Linked DNA regions of Coturnix japonica. The protein of the gene in region 2 interacts with the protein of the main gene of each other region in a pairwise test. Links are inferred from orthologs where the notes say so. Each region holds a gene or a part of one and is shown on either strand. Other genes may lie near its edges.

The links.
Region 1: the proteins of BACH2 (region 2) and BATF3 interact in binary tests that used the Homo sapiens proteins (3 or more experiments, as listed by UniProt). The link is inferred for Coturnix japonica from reciprocal best matches to the Homo sapiens genes BACH2 and BATF3.
Region 3: the proteins of BACH2 (region 2) and MAFG interact in binary tests that used the Homo sapiens proteins (3 or more experiments, as listed by UniProt). The link is inferred for Coturnix japonica from reciprocal best matches to the Homo sapiens genes BACH2 and MAFG.

What each region holds. Positions count from the first base shown.
Region 1 is NC_029518.1:19,237,096-19,240,841, forward strand, and holds the start of BATF3 (basic leucine zipper transcriptional factor ATF-like 3), read left to right. Parts: upstream 1-1,626; 5' UTR 1,627-2,190; coding exon 2,191-2,304; intron 2,305-2,653; exon of another isoform or gene 2,654-2,684; coding exon of another isoform or gene 2,685-2,747; intron 2,748-2,888; coding exon 2,889-2,993; intron 2,994-3,746. UniProt on the Homo sapiens protein: AP-1 family transcription factor that controls the differentiation of CD8(+) thymic conventional dendritic cells in the immune system.
Region 2 is NC_029518.1:68,692,647-68,696,292, reverse strand, and holds part of BACH2 (transcription regulator protein BACH2), read right to left. Parts: intron 796-3,646; coding exon 1-795. UniProt on the Homo sapiens protein: Transcriptional regulator that acts as a repressor or activator. Binds to Maf recognition elements (MARE). Plays an important role in coordinating transcription activation and repression by MAFK.
Region 3 is NC_029533.1:4,419,779-4,423,524, reverse strand, and holds the start of MAFG (transcription factor MafG), read right to left. Parts: upstream 2,531-3,746; 5' UTR 2,372-2,530; intron 2,163-2,371; exon of another isoform or gene 2,144-2,162; intron 770-2,143; exon of another isoform or gene 337-769; intron 312-336; exon of another isoform or gene 166-311; intron 141-165; exon of another isoform or gene 1-140. UniProt on the Homo sapiens protein: Since they lack a putative transactivation domain, the small Mafs behave as transcriptional repressors when they dimerize among themselves.

The DNA.
Region 1 (3,746 bases), about 49 Mb from region 2:
GCATTTGGGAACGCTACCCAAATAAATGATATCAAGAAAACCAGTTGATTCCCAGTGCAATGTATCAGCTATGAATTTACACATTTTTAGTGGCTGCTTTTGGCCAAACAAGGTGAAGAGCTGAACATTGAACGTTCAGCTGCTTTCCCAATGATAAATAAAAATTTCTACAGCAAGTGGTATTTCCAATTAGCAGTGTCTGTGATCTGTGTTTCCACTAACAGAAATACATTAAATATTCCTCTTCTTTCCCCCCCCTCCCCTTCCAGTAGCCTCTTGTCCTTCAGTTAACTTCATAGAAATGAGCAGTGTTGTGCAAGAAGGCTGTCTATTCAGGTTTCCACTGAAATGTCACAACATCCAAGCTTCTTATTTTTAACTTGGGCTGAATTGGTATTGCATCAAGAAACGTCTGGTCATTTTTCTTTATATAGCCTTTGGATTTTGTAAGGCAGCTCAATGGCGAAGGATGCTTGGGAATATTTGCAAACTTAGTTTGAGTTCTGTAGTTATTTTGGGTGAGATGAAGCATCTTACCACTTTTTAGGATGTGCTGCCTGAGGTTTGCATGGGTGAGCCATCCATACCCAGTGAAATATCACACATGGGCATTGTATCCGCACGCTTTTAGCTGTGTTTAGTTTTTAAACACTCCTCTCCCAGAAATCTTCATGCAGACACCAACATCTGTTTGTTTGAAAGTACGGGCATGTGGTGCTCTGGGACCCAGTTGTGACATACGCCACGTGTCTAAAAGAGCCACGCTAAGCCAAAGTGTTCAGCAACTGAGTCTGAAGGCGCGTGGGCTGTTCTGGTGCAGACAGAAGTCACTGATATGTTGCGATTATAAACCGTAAGCTCAGCGACCTAGACTGCATTCGGAGCTCATTTTTTCTCCTGCATAGAAGTACTGTGCCCTTACTACTGTGTTACTTGGAACTACTGTGTAGGCATTTCTACAGAAGCACAGGAGATAGCTTTAAAGACTTGTTCCCACAAGCAAATTTTGTTTTTTTTTTCATTTCCTTTACCACTTTGAGCACCAGCAGATTGTACCCAGGCCCAAGGGGACCTCCCTGTGACCTGTCACTCCTTGCGGGGTCCTGTAAACCTCCTCACCTTACAAATACAGGAGGAATTCTTACCAATAATTTACACATATCAATAAATTCTTGGAAAACTCGTTGTGACTTAGCTCTGTTACATCACCTGCTTGTGCAGCTGCTTCTAGGGCGCGTGTGTATGGCTCCTGTAACAGCATGAGCGCTTTGTGTGGAGTCATTCTGAAGCCCTACTTGTAGGAAGGGCTGTTTTTCTTCTCCAGACACAAATCTGCAAGCCTTCCCCATGCTGAGGGCCACAAAGACCAACAGCCCCAATAGACCCTTTGGCTCAATAGACCCTTGCCAAAATGCCTTGACCTCACGTGCATCCTATGACTGCATTGGATCTGCCAACTCTCTCTGAAAAGGCCTCTGAGGCTCAGTCCTCTGGGATTCAAGGAGCTCTGGGAAAGGTGAAGGCAATGCAGGAGGAGCTCTGAGGCACAGTGGGGTGAAGCGTTGCCCTGCAGAGCAGCCCTGGTCCGGCTTTCAGCGATGCTGACCTCAGTCTGACTCGTGGGCTCCAGGCAAGGCGATGTTTCTTTCATCAGCGTGAACTGTCAACCAGATCTTCCTGGAAGGATGATCTATATTTACTCCATTCGCAGCCTGCAACTTCATCTTCACCTAAGCTGAATGACTCAGACTTCGGGTGAAACGAGAAGAATAGGGAAGTGGCCGATTTATGAAGATACCTGGGGTTGATGACCGACTGCACAGCAGCTCAGGGGCACGTTCCTTAGCATGGACGTGCGTTGTCCCCGTGAGTCGCGAATATGTGGTGCTGTAGAAAGGATGTCTGTGGGTATCTGCGGGGGCACACAGCAATTCACTTCCTTCAGAGCACAGGGAGAAGATACGCTTCAGTTGCGACGTAGGAAGAGCGTTCAGAAGGATAAAAGCAGCATTGTTCGGGCTGCTAAAACATTCCGGGCAGAGCGCTCCAACAGGGAGACTTCTGTCCCGGCAACTACGTGTTCTGCGCTCATTGTCTTGCTTCGCCCTTACAAGAAACGTGCGGCATTTCCTTATTATTTAAAGGAACCGGGCGAGTAGCGAAAGTGAAAATCACTTTATCCCAGCCCAGATGCCTCGTCCTCACTCCAATGAACCCCGCCTTGCGCTCCTGCCCATTCTCCGCAGGTCGTGCCGCTTTGGAAAGCCGATGTCGCACGTGTTCCGCGGCCAGGAGTGCGCGGGGGTGAGTCAGCCGCGCAGCCCTCGGGCGGCTTTTGCGCGGCATCCTCGCGGGTTTCGCAAAAAGCCCCTCGGAGGCAGCGCTCGGGCCACGATGGCGTTTGAACCATCGGAGGGGCGGCGGGCGCGGCCAGCCCCGGGGTTCTCCGGGGGATTTTTGGGCGGCTCCTGCCCGGCAGCGCCGTGCCACGGGGGCCGCGGGCTTCCCCCCGGCTGCCGGGGGCCGGTCGGGCCGGGGCGCGGACCCCGCGAGCGCCACGTGAGCTCCCGGCGGCTCCGCCCCGGGGGCCGCGGCGGAGGCCCCCAGGTGCCGGGGCGGGGCGGGGGACGGCTCCGTGCCGCGGGGCCGAGCGCGGCGCCCCGGGGCGGGCGGCAGCCGGCGGGATGTCGTGCGGCGCCCCGGCCGCGGGCAGCGCGGTGCCGCGGAGCGCAGAGGGCGGCCAGCAGGTAGGGGAGGGACGGGCAGGGGTCGGGAAGGGCACGGCGGGGCGGCCGGGGGGCTCTGCCGAGGTTACGTGCTGGCTGCCGGCGGCGGCTCGGTGTGCCCGCCCGCACCTTGATGCCTAGAGAGCTGCTTCTGCCTTCCAGAGCCACGAAGAAGATGATAAGAAGGTGAGGAGGAGAGAAAAGAACCGAGTCGCCGCACAGAGAAGTCGGAAGAAACAAACGCAGAAAGCGGACAAACTTCACGAGGTGAGCGGGTACGCGGTGCTCCTGGGCGTGGAGACACGGACGCTCCAATAACGGGACGCTCCCAGCACGCCTGGACCTGCCGTCGGTGCGGGAGAGCCGGGCGCTGCCCGGTGCCCGCTCAGGAGCTGCCCGACGCTCCGCTCAGGTGGGACGAAGCGTTTCTGCCATCAGCGACACCGGGCAGGAGGGAGGTACGCGGTCGTGCCGGCAGCTCCCATCCCTGTGAGCACCTGCCGGCTGGATCCCAGGCTTCTCAGGGCTAATTCAAGCCCTTTGTGATGCGCTGGTGCTGAACCCGGAGCGCTCACAATGGCAGTGTGTGAACGCCTTGCGGAGAAGCTGGCGATGCAGAGGGGTGTTATGCTGCTCAGTGGTGCTGCTGGCTCAACTCAGTGCTGAAGCTGTGGTCTGAGGCAGAAATACCCAGTTGAAAAGGCTTCTTAGGAACTCCAGAACCTCCAAGCAAGAGAGCTGGGTGCAGTTAACTGCAGAACTCGTGTGCTCTGATAAATAGCAGTGGGTGTTTCCAGAATACCATGAAAGTATCTGATTCTTCCAGAAACTGTTAACGCTTCTCAGTATTACAATGCAGTGGTGTTTTATCATGTCCCCACTGTACACGCTGGAGGAGAAGAATTGCCGTTCTGTAGTTCAAGATGTTTCCTCACACAACAGTTCTGTAGTTGCAGGAATGGCTCAGCGGGTAGGTAGGTGTTGGTTGTGCTGCCTCAGTTGTGGCTTTGTTGGTTGCTC
Region 2 (3,646 bases):
CTGTTGGGAAGTGCTGGGGAAGCCAACCAAATCTATGCTTTTTGTTCTGTTGAAGAAAGACCGCAAGCAAGAAGGAGAAGACCCACTTTTTGGCCTGTCGATGCAAGTGGGGCTTGGCTGCTTCCTGTCCATTTCAACATCCCCTTCTTTATCCCTGATGTCAGGTTCATCTCCAGACAGGCAAAGCGTGATGCTTTCTTCATCATTCTCTTCATTCTGAGGCTCACTTTTTATCTGCCCCATAGCAAGTCCTGATTTGAGGCCATTTCCAGAACTCTCTTCACTGAATGTGCTTGCAAAACCTGAGGTACTGATGTGTGATGTGTTGTAGACATTCTTGGTACAAGCAAGCTGGTATTTCTTGTATCTGGGGTACCGTGTTACTGCATCTTTGTCCAAATTGTCCTTGCTGTCTCTCAGCATGTCAGAGTTGGGCAGAATCCCTTCTCCTTTGTCTGTGCCAGCAACGGTGGTTTCAAAATTGAAGGGCTCCTGGTGCATTCTCTCTCTTGGGCAAGATATTTTTGACGTCTCCGATTCCATTGTCTCCTCCTCATCTCCATCTGAGTTTTCCTCATCATGCATGCGCTGACAAGTGGTATCCTTTTTGCACAGGAACAGGCCATCTTCGTTGTTCAGCAGCTGAGTCTGAAGGAAGCTGAAGCAGGAGTCCTCCAAGTTGTGCATGCGCAGGAACTCAGCACAGTGGATGACCTCCTGGATGTTTTCTCTGCTGAGTAACAGCTTAGCAGTGTAGGCAAACTGTAGCAATGGACCAAATCCTCTGACAGTGACCTGTAGAAAAAAAGAGGGAAATTGCTAGCATTACCATCAGCTCTTGCTATAGTCCCAAGTCCTTCATTATGTTGTTAGATAACCTAACAGATCTAATGTTCAGAAATAAATACTGCACGGCACCAATTATTCTTCTGTCATGTCAGCAGTGATTCTGCATCCAGAAATGAACACAAATGCTTTTATTTTGCTTCTCTACATCATGTTGCTCAAATAAAGACCTGCGAACCAAGCTTCTGCTGTAATAAATGATCAAAAAACCAGACTAGTGTGCAAACTGCTAATTCTTGGATAGATCTTGTTTTCACTATGATTGCCCTGATGGAAGCTCTGGTGAACAATGATTTCAAACATAAAATGCTATTTAAACCCCAAAGGTATTTTGGAAAGGAAGCATTTAATTTTACAGACAAATTCCCTTTTTTTCCCCTGTATTTTTTGCAAGCTACTATAGTATAAATACCAGTTAAATGCTGACTGCACAGCCCTTTTCTTCATCCTATGGACTCTGTTTCTTCTCATATTGTTTCCGACTTTAGTGATTCTAAGGTACAGCTGACAGGAAAGCAATCCATACTCATAATTCAAATAATGCAAATCGCTCTAAGTCTCACCTTAGTACATAATTTTCCATCATTTTCTTCAGAGAAAGAGCAACAACTGTTTCCACGAGTTTATGGGTCTTAGTTATGCACCATTACTTGTCTTTTTTTCTCATTACACCATCTACACTATATTTACATAAAGTCATATATAAAAAATGTGCTTTCTCCCTCTAGCTCTTTTAGATGCTCTTTTAGCAAACAACTTGCTAAGCCATGTATATATACATATTGTTCATTCTCTACCATCAGTGCATTGGCACAGACTTTTCTTATATATGTTTTTTCTGCAACAGGAAAGAAACACAGATAGTTGAAAAACTCAGTGAGAGGATACCTACATGCCCGGGCTCACAACCAAGGATAACAGCATCTCCACAAGAAGGAGATTCAGTAGTTGGATCACTAAGTTGAGACTTGAAAGACCACAACTCAATTTTCTTCCAATAGAATTAACACTGCTGAGCAGTGCAGAGAGTCAGAATGATGCTGCACAGTCACTGCTAGAGCCACTCTGTGAAGGGAGACACCGAGCTTACACTGCCTGCTCCTAAATGCTATTTAATGCAAAACACATACAGACTGGAATATCACAATGCCTCTCTTGCTTGAAAATCACAATCAATATGTTAGGGAATTGCTCTGCCACAAAAAAGTTTGTATTTCCTCCTGCATGGAGGAGCAGCAGAGGATGGTTTTGAGTCCACTGTTCCAAAGCACAGTGAGGCATCAGGGCATGCATTTCTGATGGTCTTATTTCACAAACAGTAAAAATCTAAGTGAATAATTAGGTTCATTCAAATGAAAAGCCTATAAATTTCTTACATTGCCTGAGGACCAGTGGTAGGGCTCACAGATCTTTACAGAAAATCCTGACATCCAGAAACAAGCCTTTGTTATTCACACATCTGCACTTGTGATGCTGGATTATGAAGACACCACAAATGGTGTAGACTTTGATGGAGAGAAAAATATTTTAAAACACTTCTAAAATCGCTCCCAATAGCTCTTCCTTACATAATATTACTGCACTATTTATCTGCTATTTTAAGAAACAGCACATTTTCATGCACACACTTACACACTTGCACATTTCTGTCTTACAATATGCCTCTGGTTCAGAACTGCCTAGATTTACAGCTGGCTATTAAACTGATCTCTGTCTTATCAGTGTTACACTTTCTGCCTATTTGTTAGATTATCAGCTCACTAAAGGCCTATCTGCATTTTATCTATGCAGTATGATTAACAAAATTGCTCAGAAACTTAATGAGCTACTCACAGCATTTCTTTGATAAGATCTTCAGTGTTATTATGCATTTCATAAGCTCAGCAGCAGTGTGGGTCCCTAGGAGCAGCCATAAATACCAGCTGGGGTTTTCAGGTCCCTTTTGCATAGCAGGGACTGCGGAGCACAAAGCCAGTTCTCCTGGCTGTGGTGTCCCTTAGCCACTAGGTGGAATGACTGCAAAGCAAATTAAAAGCATTTTCTGTTCAGGGCCAGGGTTTCACCTGCCTCCCCTGGCTGCAGAGCCCGAGGGTGACTCACAGCACTCCAGAGCAAGGCCATCTCTGTGCTGACTCAGGCTTTCGCTCCCAATAAGGCAGCATGGAACAGGAGCAGGACAGATTTACAGCTGTTCTGTGCTGAGTGCATTAGTGACGGAGCACGAGAACACATATATTAGCCTCCCTGCAATGCTCTGCAGACCTCCCAGGTGTAGGAGGATGAGGATGCTGGTCCAGCATGTACCTTCATTCTGGCTGCTGAGATCTTACTCAGTGACACAACTCTCCTCATTCCAACAGAACCAGAGGAGGAAGGATTCCTTCCAAGCACCAGTGCTTCTCATTGCCCTTGGGGGGGAATTTCTCAAGTGCCAACACTTGAAACTACCCAAGCAATAACTCTGATAGTAAATGCTTCTAAAGGTCACTGGTAAGCACTGAAGTCAGCACAATCTCTGTAGACTGAAGCTAAGTATTGATCTGGCCTCCATGGCGGGTCCCCATCACAGCCCCTCAGCCTTACAACTGCCCACGTTTGGTACTTTTGCCAGGAGAGCATCATCTGAGGTGTGGGTATGCAGCAATAGCCTCCACACATTTGCAGGAGAGACTTCAAAGCTGCAGAGCTCACAGTCACACATCTCTGACGGAGGAGGCGAGAGCAGAATTTAATATGATTTGACCTGACTGATGCATCCCAGTGAAAACAATGAACGAAACCAAGTTGATCTATGTTACAG
Region 3 (3,746 bases), on a different chromosome or scaffold from region 2:
GGCTGCACCAGCTTCTCCCCTCTTTATCTTCAGAGCTGAGAGATAAGAAAACAAAGATCGAGGGAGGCCAAAACCAGAGGGGAGCAGACTCCTTCACTGCCAGGGAGGACAGCATTCCAGGTCTATAACAGCAGCTCCTGGGGCTGTCTTCATACAGAGACATACCTGGGCTCCTGCTCCTGTCCCTATGCACCTCCTCCCCTCACACCTCGGGTCAGAATTCCACTGCACCCCAACAAACTGAATCCTCAGCAGCCACGTCTGTCCCACACAGCCCGGCACTGCTTCCTGCAGCAAGGCCAGCACTGTCTGTGTGCAGGTGCAGTCCATGAGTACCTTTGTACCTTCCGTGCCAGCCAACAGCAATTCCGTTCGCTGCTCTTTTGTTTGCTAGACGTAAGAGGCAGAGCTGCAGCCAAGACCCAGCTGTACAGTCAGCAAATACGGCTTTCTGCTCCTCCAGCAGCTGCAGCTCAGGCTCCCGCAATGCGCCCGGCGCTGACTGCTAGAGGTGAGCGGGATCAGCGTCCTGCAGGACACGGAGCACACCAGCACAATTCAGATGTTCCCCCAAGGCCGGAGCCTGCCAGGAGGCAGCTATTTATACCCAGAGGACAATGTTCCTTGCAGCATGACGGCCGTGACAACCCGACAGCGTGGCCGTAAGGGTCACTTTGCCACCGAGGGAGGCGGCTGCATTGAGGGGAGCACATGCAGACTGCAGCCTCCTGCAACCAGTTCTGTGCTTTCCCGTGCTGTTATTTCTCTTTCTTTGCTCTGTTTCCTCCCCCCCCCCCCCACCCTAACAAACAAAATGGCTGCTGGAAAAAGGGGCAGATGGAAGAGAATAACTGGGGGGAGGCATAACACCGGCCCTGAGGAACCCTCTGACCGCACGCTGGGGTCAGTATGGCTGCAGTAATGTGTGCCTGCAGGGCTGAATGGTTCCCTGCTACCGGGAAACACTCAAACTTCCTTCATTGTAGCAGAGCTGGGAAAAACAAACACTGGATGGGGCTGGGCACAGGTAGAGCAGCTCAGGGTGCAGGGCAGGAAACTCACACAGCCCTGAGCTCAGAGCCTGTGCTCACCTTGCACCTCATACTGTCATTTCTGCTGAGAGAAATTGATAAACGCACAGATAGAGGCACTAAAGGACGGGTCAACCAGGGCTGCTGTGCTGAGAGAGAACAGAAATGAGAGGAGCTTGATGGGGGGACACGGCTGGGATGAGTGCAGGGACACAGAGCTGTGATGGGGGTCAGGGAGTGCTCCCCATCCTGAGCCACAGCATCGCTGCTGTGGGACACGAGGCTGCAGTGTCTGTATCCGAGGAACTGGACAGTGCATGTTGTGTGCTGGGGGCGGCTCTGGGACGGGGCTGTGCCTGAACGCAGCACCAGTTTGGACCCTCCATCCCCTTCCAGAGACACAGCAGAGCACGGACAGCACGGGGCTGTTATGTGTGAGGGGGGCAGCAGCTGAGCCGGGGGCACACACCGAACCAGCCTCATCCCGGCTGTGCAGCCCGTTCATTGCTCGGCTTTTTAGAGGCTCCCGCAGATCGCACTGCAAAGTGCCCAACGCTTTGACTGCAGCAACAAAATGCCGCCTCAACACATTGCCCGGCGCTCAAAAGCCCTGAGCTCAGCACGGCCGCAGCCAATTCCCCCCCGGCGCGGAGCCGTTTCCCCGTTCTCTCCCCGTTCTCTCCCGGTTCCCTCCCGTTCCCCATCGCGGCGCCTCGCCACGCGCGCACTGTAAACACGGTGACGTCGCCGTGGCGCGGAGCTCTCCTTCCCCTCCCCCCCCGGTGCGGGATCCCGTTCCCGTTTATCCGTGTTGTTATTTTGTTCCCCTGACCCCACGCGGCCCGTCCCGCCGCTCACACACCCCGCACTTTCCCCCGTTAAAGCGGCTCCGCCGCCGCCCGTCCCGCGGGATCCCGGTGACCCCACGGCGATGCCGGGAGGAGCGGAGCGGCCCGAGCCCCGCGGCGGGTGAACCGTCGGGAAGCGCCGCGCTGCGCCTCCGGCCTGGCCAGCTCCACCGGGCACCGGGACACCGTGTGACCGAGCGGGGGCTGAGCGCCGGGCGGACCCGGTGCGGGGCGGGGCGGGCGGAGCGGCGGGGCCCCGCGCACCTGTTGCTCGGCCGCGGCGGGGACCGGGCCGTGCGCGCCGCCAACCGGGCGGTGACCGGCGGCCACGGAGCCCCCGCCGTGAGTCAGCGCCGGCCGCTCCCGCCCCGCCCCCGGGGACCGGCCGCCGCGCCTCGCCGCCCCGCCTCGCCCCGCCCGGTGCCAGGGCCGCGCCCGCCGCCCGCGCCGCGCCTCCTCCCTTCGGTGCCGCCGCCGCCGCCCGCCCCTCACCGGCCGCGCTCGCTGCGGTCACGTCCTGACGGAGCCGTTGGACCGGGCGGGGCGGGGCGGGGCGGGCAGGCCGCGCTGCACGAACCGGGACCGGGACCGCGAGCCGCCGCCGCTCACGGACGCGTCACGTGATGTTTGGGTCACGTGGCTCCATTCATGAAGCGCCCGGCGCAACCGCCCCGCGCCTTAAAGGGGACGCGCCGGGAGGGCGGGAAACGGGGCGGGACCAGGAATGGAACGGGACCGGGACTTAAAGGGACCGCGGGGATGGGAACGGCCGCGGTGTGAGCCCAGCAGGGCGGCAGCACCGAGCAAAGCGCGATGGATAGCAATGGGCAGCAATGGATAGCAATGGGCAGTAATAGATAGCAATGGGCAGCAATGGATAGCAATGGGCAGTAATAGATAGCAATGGGCAGCAATGGATAGTAATGGGCAGCAATGGATAGTAATGGGCAGCATTGGATAGCAATGGATAGTAATGGGCAGCAATGGGAGCTCCGCTGCCGTCGGGCCTTTGTTACCGCCCCACTTCGGCCCCGTCAGTTCTCATTTGTACAGACACGGCTCTGGGGCGTCCGCAGCTCCAACCACTGCAGGACTGAGGGGACAATGGAGCTGGGCCGGGTGAGCGCTCAGTGCCGGGCTGTGGGACGGCGGGGACACGGAGCTGCGTCCACCCAACACAACCAGGAGCCGCCACGGGTCCGATAGAGGAATGGTTTATTCAAGGAGCAGAAAGAGCAGCAGCCACGTCACACCTACACGGCCTTGTCCCAGTACCAACTGACACAGCACCGCACTGACACTGCCAGCACCTGTGGAGTTCTCTGCATTGATCCCCAAATGCTTTTCTTGCACCACACACATAGACGCTCTGGGTTCCTAAGGAGGAACCTCAGTGTACATCAAGGTAGAACAGGACGACACTGAGATCCACCCAAATCCCTTCCATCCTCCCCAGCCCACAGCTCCCACTGCAGCCCAGCAGCAGCTACCGGGGCAGTGTGAACATTGGGTGCTGCTTCCTGGTCCAGGACAGGGCTCTGGAAGAAGAGGGAACTCTATGGGGATGGTGGCTATAAAGAAGCCATAGAAAGCTGCTGTTGTGGGGATGACTGCCAAGAATGCACCCTGAATGAATCAGTGTGGCTGAGGGGTTCACATTGACCCTCTATTTAAAGTCAAAGCGGATGGGAAATGAGGCAGAGGCACTTTGGTCCCTGGTGAGAAGCATATTAGAACCCAGCCTCAGCGCACAGCACTGCATTGGTGTGACAGCAGCTGCTCTAGCTAAGAAAAAACAAGAGATGAGCTCTGAAAGCAGATGGAAGATGGGGAAAGAGGGATCCAGACCTGACTCAAACCTTTGAGA